Drosophila melanogaster: one gene and its partner. The protein of the gene in region 1 interacts with the protein of each later gene in a pairwise test. Each region holds a gene or a part of one and is shown on either strand. Other genes may lie near its edges. The genes, in order: CNPYb and CG17549.

What was found.
Region 2: the proteins of CNPYb (region 1) and CG17549 interact in a two-hybrid assay, tested with the Drosophila melanogaster proteins (one large-scale study listed by BioGRID).

The regions. Positions count from the first base shown.
Region 1 is NT_037436.4:19,094,184-19,098,252, reverse strand, and holds CNPYb (canopy b), read left to right. Parts: upstream 1-2,035; 5' UTR 2,036-2,110; coding exon 2,111-2,776; 3' UTR 2,777-3,363; downstream 3,364-4,069. Other genes in the region: CG14079 (uncharacterized protein), read right to left, coding at 43-90; Naxd (NAD(P)HX dehydratase), read left to right, coding at 621-947, 1,026-1,601; MESR6 (misexpression suppressor of ras 6), read right to left, coding at 3,689-4,069.
Region 2 is NT_033779.5:19,386,546-19,392,349, forward strand, and holds CG17549 (uncharacterized protein), read right to left. Parts: upstream 3,531-5,804; 5' UTR 3,391-3,530; exon of another isoform or gene 3,382-3,390; intron 3,255-3,381; exon of another isoform or gene 3,220-3,254; intron 2,025-3,219; 5' UTR 1,990-2,024; coding exon 1,929-1,989; intron 1,769-1,928; coding exon 1,495-1,768; intron 1,392-1,494; coding exon 1,317-1,391; intron 1,225-1,316; coding exon 993-1,224; intron 847-992; coding exon 625-846; 3' UTR 505-624; downstream 1-504. Other genes in the region: CG17544 (uncharacterized protein), read right to left, coding at 4,124-4,674, 4,893-5,238, 5,294-5,419, 5,521-5,804.

The DNA of each region.
Region 1 (4,069 bases):
CCTTGATGTCACAGGTACACTTCAATCGACATAGCCACAAACCGCATGGAGCTGCAGATCTAACTTTACGTAGAATCTCTTGTGGGACATTTGCTGCCTGATCCTAAGTGAAAGTCTGCCGGAAAATAGCCAACTGCTTGGGGCGGGAATCGAGAATTGGGGGGCGAAAGCGCATGGTTCTTTGTTTTGGAGCCCACTGGTTGCCGGGGCAGCGGTTGAAAGTGAATTTCAAAGTCGATTACTGGTCGATAACGCAGGGAATTTTGATTGATAAGCAAAAGAGTTGAAAGTGATGTGTATAGAATGTATAGTGTAACTATACAATGTGAAGAGTACTTAAAGAATTGAATAGTTTTTGAATTAATTAAGAAATAATACAAAAATATGATAGTAAAATACTAAAAAAAATCTATTTTAGAATAATTAGCTAACTCACATTTTTCCATGTTTTCATTTTCTATAGCTTTAACTACTGATAATACGGCTTCCGTGGGAACAAAGTATTTCTCACAGTGATAGCAGCAACCGATAGGAAATCCCGACCACAATGTGCATCACTAGTCACAGCAATAGTAAACAGCGGGCACAGTCCACAAAGAAAACCATTGCCGCCGGTAGAGATGGCTGCAGTTTCGGATATTCCAGTGCACCTGCCCAAGCTGCTGGCTCTGTTCAAGACGGTGGTGCCCAAGCTGGTGAACAACAAGCACAAGGGACAGTACGGACGCATTGGAGTGATCGGTGGGTCCCTGGAGTACACCGGAGCGCCGTACTTCGCGGCCATTTCCTCGATAAGAGTGGGCGCTGACCTGGCGCATGTGTTCTGCCATTCAAATGCGTCGGCCATTATCAAGTCCTACAGTCCCGATCTTATCGTGCATCCAGTGCTAGACTGTGTGGATGCAGTGGAGAGAATAGCGCCCTGGTTAGAGCGACTTCACGTCGTTGTGAGTAGCCCCCCCCCCCCACCTACATACGTATATGCTACATTTATACAATTAAATGCTAAATTTAGAATCGTTAAGGTTATTGGACCTGGACTGGGTCGGGAGCCGGGCATCCTGAAGACGGCATCCAACGTACTCAAGCTGTGCATGGACACCAAGAAACCAGTTGTCATAGACGCCGATGGACTGTTTCTGCTCAACGACAATCTGAATCTGATCTGTGGACAGCCGAATGTCATACTCACGCCAAATGTCATGGAGTTCCAGAGACTGTTTGGCGAGGATGACCAGGCGGCGCGCCAGAAAATGTCCCTCCTGGGAGCCGGAGTAACTGTCCTGGAGAAGGGCGCCAACGACAAGATCTATCTCCCTCACTGCAACGAAGTTCACTCAATGCCTAGCGGCGGTTCCGGTCGCAGGTGCGGTGGACAAGGTGACCTGCTCTCCGGATCTTTGGCCACCTTCTTCTCGTGGTCACTGCAGTCGGGTGAACCCAATCCCGCCCTGGTAGCTGCATGTGCCTCTAGTTACTTTGTGAAAAAGTTAAACGCGGCTGCATTTCAAAAGTTTGGCCGCAGCCTACTGGCCAGTGACATGGTCAATCAAATACCCAGCGTATTTCAGACCGAGTTCGAAAACAGCGATCCTCAATAGTCATTTACTGGACTTTGAACTAATTCCAGCTGTTTGTTTTTTAAAACAAGGCGACCATTAACCGAATTTTCAATTATCGTGGGATTTTTAATGTCTTTAACAGAGAACATATTGGAATGGATAGAAATGTTATGGGAATTTTTTAATTGCATTTAAACAACGTAAGAACATCTGGTTCGTTAATTTGAAAGCTGCATCTTGTTACAGATAAAATGTTTCGGCATTCATAATAAAACCATATTGATTCAATTTTAATAAACCGTTTAAGCATGACTTCTGTTTTAATAAACAAATAAAATAAAATAAAAGTTTTTTTTAAATGTATGTAGGATAATAAATCATAAAAAAGAAAATAGATTTGATATAGATTATTTTAAAGGTATTGGCGGGAAAAAGCTAAGTCGTCGGTTCCGTTCGGTTGTTGGTGTTTTGCAGCACTGGTCTTCTCGCGAGCGGCATTTCCACGTCAGGTTTATTATTGTTTTTTTGGAATTTATCAAGCAGTGAAAATGCTCCTCAAAAGACTGCCTGGCTTTGTAACACTCTGGGTCGTCCTGCAGTTAGCCGGAGCTGATTCGCCCGAGGAGGAGCAAGGCGTTCGCTACGCAAACCGCTGCGAAGCCTGCAAAATCCTGGCCACCGAATTGGAAGCTCGACTTGGAGAGACCGGCAAGTCGCACGACGTCATCGAAATCGGATACTCCGTTGACGATGTGAAGCCCAAGAAGCGCACTGAATACCGGCGCAGCGAACTGCGACTGCTCGAGTCCCTGGAGAACGTGTGCGAGCGAGTGTTGGAGTACAATCTGCACAAGGAACGCTCTGACAGCACGAGATTCGCCAAAGGTATGTCCCAGACCTTCCAGACGCTCCATGGCCTTGTGGACAAGGGCGTCAAGGTGGATCTGGGAATACCCTACGAGCTGTGGGACAAGCCCCCGGTGGAGGTCACCCAAATGAAGACCCAGTGCGAAAACCTACTGGAGGAGTACGAGGAAACCATCAGCGAATGGTACTTTAAGCACCAGGATGAGAAGTCACTGAAGAAGCATCTCTGCGAGGACCATGTGCTCAAGAAAAAGGCCGAAAGGGAATGCCTCAAGGAGCAGCTTGCTCCTCCGGAGGCTAAAAAGGCCAAAAGGGAAAAAGCCAAGGGCGACAAGGAGGAGCTGTGAGCCAAATAATCCAAGTATATCCTAGGAATCCCTACCATATTGTAATTCCATGTCGAAAAATGTAGATGTAGTGCAGCTGTTGTCGATGCAATTTTTAAAAGTAACACAAATTTTAGTTTTTGAATGAACTCAAGCATTGACAAACTAAATGTAGTAGTTACTTAAATTCCAATGATCTTACTTTTTTTCGAAATGGAAATCATTTTAAGTTTTACCACCTATAGAACAAAGCGAAAAGTGTTTAATTAGCTTAAGTGAACTCACTATGTCTCTCAAGCTAATCTGTATAACTTCCACAACGACTGAGCCACAGAATGCTACTGAAAGTTTCGCCTGGGGCCATTGGCTTATTGATTTCGGCCACGAATTGGGGTCGACAATTAAAAGTTGACTGCCCTCAATGAGGTGGCCAGTCATAACCCCCAGCCAGAAATTCAGGTGTTCATGCCATGTCCATGTCAATAAATGAGATTTTGCGCATTTTCTAGGAACCTACGGCACTGAATGGAAGAGAGTTATCCTTAAATACATGTACATTTTATAACTAACATTTAGTATTTACGATTAAATATAGATTATCTGTGCATACACATTTTGATTTTACTGGGGCACCTAATATGTCGTTTAAAAGGTATCTCGTCGCGAAACCTTTCAAAGTTTAAAAACAAATTATTTTGAATATACCCAATTTGCATTAAATGAGTTTGTTTAATTGTCTGTAATAAATACTTCGCGTATATTTCAAAGTAAAAAATATTATTATAATTAGTATTGGATTTTCCATCATTAGGTTCTAATTCGAAATCACTACGGGTATCTTTTAGTCGTGGAGTTTTCCCGCCCAAACGAGTTTTGTAAATTCAGAATCTAATTCGCAGTGGCGGGCGAAAGAACCCCTAGTTATCCATAAGCTTAGAGCTTCATCACATCCCAAGGATCGTCCATATAGTGCAGGATGGCTTTGTCGTGCAGTCTTTCGCCAAAAACCTCCTTAAGCAGGCGTAGAACGCATTCCTCAATGAATGCCACCTGATCCTGGGGGCAGTAGTCATCTTGAGCGGAATGGGCCATTGTAATGGCCACTGGAGGAACTGGCAGGCGCTGTAAGAAACGCTTGAAGTTTGCAAAGTACGTTTCCAACTCTTCGGCGATGCTGATGTGGTGGGGCAAGCCATTATTATCGGTGGTGCTGCCCGAATCGAAGATCAAATGCCAGTCGATTTCATCGTCTGGATATTTCTCCTGCAGCTGATCGGCCAGTTTCACAATCTTGGCGTACACTTCGGGCGTGAC
Region 2 (5,804 bases), on another chromosome or scaffold:
CACAATGCTAATGAGCTCCCATTGAACTTAGAAAAAACTGCGAGCAAGGTGAAGGAATATATAGAAAAAACCTTGAGCTTCAAATTAAATTCAGGAAGTACTAACATAGAACTATCTAAGTGGTTATGGTGGGTTTTCCAATTTTTGTCAGCATATTGTGGTTACGAAAATAAAAAGTCGGAAATAACAGAACAGAATAATATAGAATCAACTTCAATGAGATAGAACACTTCCGGTCACCTTTGATACGACCATCCGTCCAATACAAAACGAAAACATTGAAACAAATTAAGTAAATCTAATCTAGCAAACTGAATTGTAAATACTAAGCATTTATATACCTAGCAATGCCAACAGCAACGTCAAAATCAAGGTCAATATACAAATGTATATACAAATTTGCATTTTTTTTTTGTTTTGCCTAAGCCAGAAAGGGAGAACGAAACTTTCTAATTAAAGAAAGCTTCGCTTTAAGCCCCCGCCGATAAGAAAGTCCGGCAATTTGACAATAAAATACACGTATATTATTTTTATATTTTATACATATTCAATGGAAGCGGTTTGCTTTGTCAGACCGGAGTAAATGTTAGCCTAGCCACCAGTGGAGGGTCTCCGCCGATCTTTCTAGGAGTGCACCGAATACGAGGTGATCTTTCCGTTGTCGTTGACCGTGGTCTGGGCTCCACGTCGACTGGTTCCGTCTCCGTTGCTGTGGCTGAAGGACGAGACCGAGACGCCCTTGTAGCCACCACCGCTGCCACCACCTCCTCCGGAGCTGCTGGAGCTGGAGAACGAGGATCCACCACCGCTTCCGCCGCCAAAGCGATTCACAATGTTGGGAGAGGCCTGAGAAAGAGTTAAATCAGCCATTTGATTATTTGAGCTTATAACCTATTTATATAATATTTTAATTACTTTTAACTATTCACAGATACAACAGATACTTTAAATGTATATCCACTTTGACCGCACAAGGCAGTTGGATTTCTTACCGGATTGGATGGGCTAATGAAGGCCGTCTGGCGATAGCCATTGGAACCGATAGATCCGGAAGCTGATGCATAGCTGGGTGCATAGCGATGTGAGTTGTAGGATCCCGATCCAGATCCAGACCCGGATCCAGAGCTGGAACTGAAGCTAGAGCTGGTGCCTCCTCTGTACCGATTCTGGCGCACTAGATTGTCGTGGTAGGCCTGTTGAGCGGCGATCTGTTGCTGGATGCGACTGCGCACAAAATGACATTAGAATAAGGAAAAACATACCGTGATACCGTATTAGTGATTGGGATTAGTTAAGGACTAGCTACTTGTATTTACATATCGTTGTCGTTGACAAGAGATGCATCCGCGGATGCATAAGCATTGCCAGCCGTGGCCAGACCAGTTATAGCTCTACAAGAACAGATATATTCAAGCGTTAGGTTTACCCATAGCCCGCCGTATCACTACCCAAAGATCCCAAACAATCTATCCCCTGGATATGATCGATGCTCACTGTTGGTTGGCGAAGTTCTGGGCCAAAATATGATTCGTCAGCTGCTGGTGGAATAGATACGGATCGATGATGCCAAAGTTGGGTGAAGTGCCGCCATAGTCATCGTAATCGTAATAGCCACTACCGCCACCACCACCGGTACCCACATAGCTGCTGTGTCCACCGCCACTGTTATAGCTTCCCGTATAGCCACCGGCTCCTCCTCCACTGCTGGCATACCCTCCGGCGTAACCGCCGGCATATGCTCGTCGTCTGCGGGTCGGAGCCGTTTTTGCTGAAATGGAAAACATCATGTGGATGATAAAAAATATAGAGCTTGAAAGGTAAATTTAAATTTAAATTTGCCTTAATTTATTGTTACTCGTATGTATAGCTTCATTAGCCTATATTATTATTATTACGGAAATTAGGTGCACATTAGTGGGTTCTCTTACCTCCCGATGACTCTTCATTCAGAGCACTCATCACCACACAAATAAGTAGAACCTTCCACATATTTTTATCTGGGCATTTGCGATTGAACTTTGGAGCTGGGGGTGTAAAGAATAAAACAATGGAATCATTAAGAACTGGTTTGGAAATTAGTGTAAGGGAAACTTGTTTGCGAAACGATGCATATTTCGAAGCCTACGAAATTTAATGTTTTTTAAACGGAAGCGCGAATTGATTGCCTGACATATAGACGTCTAGATGGCTTAGATGGCTTAGATGGCTTATATAAGATCCCATCTAGAGGTGGTGCTCACAACTGGGAGCTACTGCCTCATTGCCTCATTGTTGCCGATACTTTCACAGCCATTGTCATTAGCCGCTCGGGGCAGAATCCATAAATCCGCTTGCACAAGCCGGTAATATGCGCGATTGTAACGTGCGGAATAGGGGATGCACTGCTGCCAGTAATCGATTCTTGGATGCCTGGGCGAGGGTCATTGGCTTCACTGCCTCCCCGTTCAACTGGACACGAAGCTAAAGCCTCATAGGCGGCAATTACAACCAATTCATATATATTTCTCTGGCCCAACCCACAACTAATTGCCCTTACACGATTTTCCCATAATGAATTGGCGAAAAGAAATCAGAATCGGGGGCACGGTTTTGGGGGGAAGAAGGCCTGGCCATCCGCATCGAAAACAAAAAACCCCAAAATGTAAATTAATGGATCTCCATATGACTGTGTATATTATTGACTCTCAATTCGGCAAACGAGAGAAAGAGAAGAACGAACCAGTTCTCACTAATTTGCTCGGAGTTTAGAAATGTATAATGAATATTTCAGTTTGTTTTGTTATATTATTTTGATTTCCCCCCATTTGCCAGCCATCTGTAGTATATTTTCGATGCGCCATTTATATTCCAATCTGTCCAACGTTTTGCTTGTCATTTCTTACAAAAGTTTATTAAGTTGGCATTAAGAGCGGGGATTTTTGTTCGCACCAACAATTGTTGCGATCTAATTGAATAACTTTAAGGCTCAGGAGCAACCGGTCTAAAGATGATTTATAATTTTTGTTAATACACCAAAATATTAACAATTAACAGCTTTGTGCACGGCTCGCTTGAAACAAAGGAACTCGACTGAGTAGCACTCCCGATGAACGAACGTGTTTTGTCATTTCGCCCCTGACTTTGATGATCACCGAATGGTTTTAGTACGAGTATGAGCTCGCATACAACATCATTAAAATCTCGCTGATAAGAGCGACTAATATTAAAAACACTACATACACTTCCCAGTACTAAACCAAAACTGCGCAACGAATTGGCAAAACTATCGATGTTATATGGCCGTGATCACCGGGAGAGGGGATCGATTTCCATATAGATAGAGATAGAGAGTCCCACCGCAAGATAGAGATACACAAACACAAACACTGCGAACTCACTCACTTGACTCACTTGATTTGTTTATGATTCGGCGTTAGGTTCTTGACCAGTTTTTGTTTTTCGATTTCGGTTTCGGATTCGGACTGGGATTCTCTCGCACTCGCCGATCTTCTTCACCGATCGACAACTGGGCAACGTCTGAGTCGAAACAGGTGGGCCCAGGTCCTCTTATAAACGATCGGACACCTGTGGACTGCCCACGATAATGATGACGAGACGACTAGAGAGTGGAAACGCTTACCGAATCACTCGAATCGGGGATTTATTATAAGGTCTTCTAACTGGGATGCTCACTGGCCGAATGATTATAACAAAAAGAAATAACTTTAATTTTTACTTCATTTATAAAATCATTTCATTTTTATGCAAGGCTTAACTATTTCTCCAATCCATTTTGGCCCAATTAAAATTACCTATATTTATAGATACAACATACACAACATTGTAACGCAAAATGATTCAATATTTATTTAACTCGCTTATATATACATATATACTTTCATATCAACTCGTTTAATCGTAATCTAGTAACAGATTTCATCTTAAAGTACTCGAATGTGTGTTATAGTTGGTACATGATTAAAAAAAACCTTTCACTGGGATCAATGTAGTTGGCCATTATACCTGATTATCGAGAGGCAACACCAATTCCAATTTAACTTGGTTTTCTACGCGCCAAGCGAACGCTTCAGTATCGAAGTCAGGCACTTGGTAACTAGGTTCTAATCCTCGGTGGTAATCCTCCTCAAAGCTTGGACTGGGCCTGCGGAATGATTACGTCACGCCACCAGGAGGGTCGCTGGAATGCCCCCTCATTGGTCATAAATTCGTTCTGCAAGTTCTCGTAGAGAAGTCCATCCGCCCGGGCGATGACCGAATTCAGTGCGAAATCGGGCGGCGAAATGGCATCCGCTACGCTCACGGCCACGTCTTTCAGTTTCAGGCAGCTGTCCAGCAGCAGTTGACGCACTGCAGCCGAGAAATCCCGCCCAGCCGCAAAGCCACCCACATAGAAGGTGGTCATGTGCTTCTCCAGCAGCCACATGGCATACACGTCGAACAGCAGGCGGAGTACGGATGCATATGGCGCCTCCACTGTCAGTGTACTAACGTGATCCACATAGCGCGTCAGAGCATAGTACTCCGCGTAGGCCAGGGACAGTTCCCGAGCTCCGGCCACCTGGGAGTTGTTTCTCGCCTCGAACTTACTGCTGCCCGCCGCCAGCTGACCCTCGATGTGAGCTGTGGTCTTGGCCATCAGGTGACACAGCAGCCACTCGTAGCACCTAAGGGAGACTGAAGGAAAACGAACTCTTTAATCAAACAATCATAGTACCTTAATAATATTTTATCTCAATTTAACCACCAATTTAGAAAATAGCTCATGAACGTCTCTCTAAAAACTACTAAGATACTTTTTCTATCTTTAAGTTCTAAACTCAATAGTTGTTGAAATTTGAAGGACATCTATCTTTTTTGAAACATTTATGACTAGGAGGCTCTTATCTACTTACACTGCCAGCTGGCTATTGGAGTTTTCTGCGCCAAGGACGCGTAGTTGAGAGCCAGCAACTCGCTTCGGCGCTCCAGGAACTTCACACTGCCAATGGGTGTCTCCAGTTCCTTGGCGCTCCACTGGCGAAGCAGCCAGTTGGAGGCCTGTTGTCCTAGGACGTTGTTATCGCCCTCATAGGTGCACAGTGGGTCGTGGTCGGTGCGCATCTGGCCAAGCTTAGCTGCTTGCAGATAGCCATGTCCTCCGCAGGCCTCTCGCGCTTCCTGGATGGCATCCCGTGCTGCCCAGGTGATCAAAGGCTTCGACGACGAGATCAACGCGTGGATCTCCGCAGCATTCTGGGTCTAAAATATGGCTTTCATTAGATGTGCTATTAGCTGCAATATAAAGATAACCCACCAGAACATCAAATCCATTGGAATCCGCCTGGGAACGCGCTATGATCTCCATATAGGTGCTTGTCAGCTCTTCAGTGGCAATTTTTTGAACGCAGGCAGCCGCCAGATAGGGAAAGATGCGATATTGCTGCGGATGGATTATATATATTATTCACCAATCAAAATCATAAAATATAATGAACAATAAGTTATTCCAACCCATTCAAATGGCAGAGTTATTTGACTTACATGCAGTTGATACTCCAGAATGGCCATTTCCTCGCCATGACGCTCCGGGCCAAATTGCTTCCTCACTGCGGAGTAACGAACTGCGATTACGGCGGCACTGCACAGAGTATTGGCCGATTCCTGCATTATGCCAATGCGTCCGGCGGAGAAGCTCTCGAGTGCAGCCCCAAGGACTTTTCCTGGTTCGGTGAACACACTTTCGTAGACCCCCTCCGGAGTGACGTCACTGGTGCGATTGAGCAGGTTGTCCCGGGGAATTCGGTAGTTGGTGAAGACCACAAATC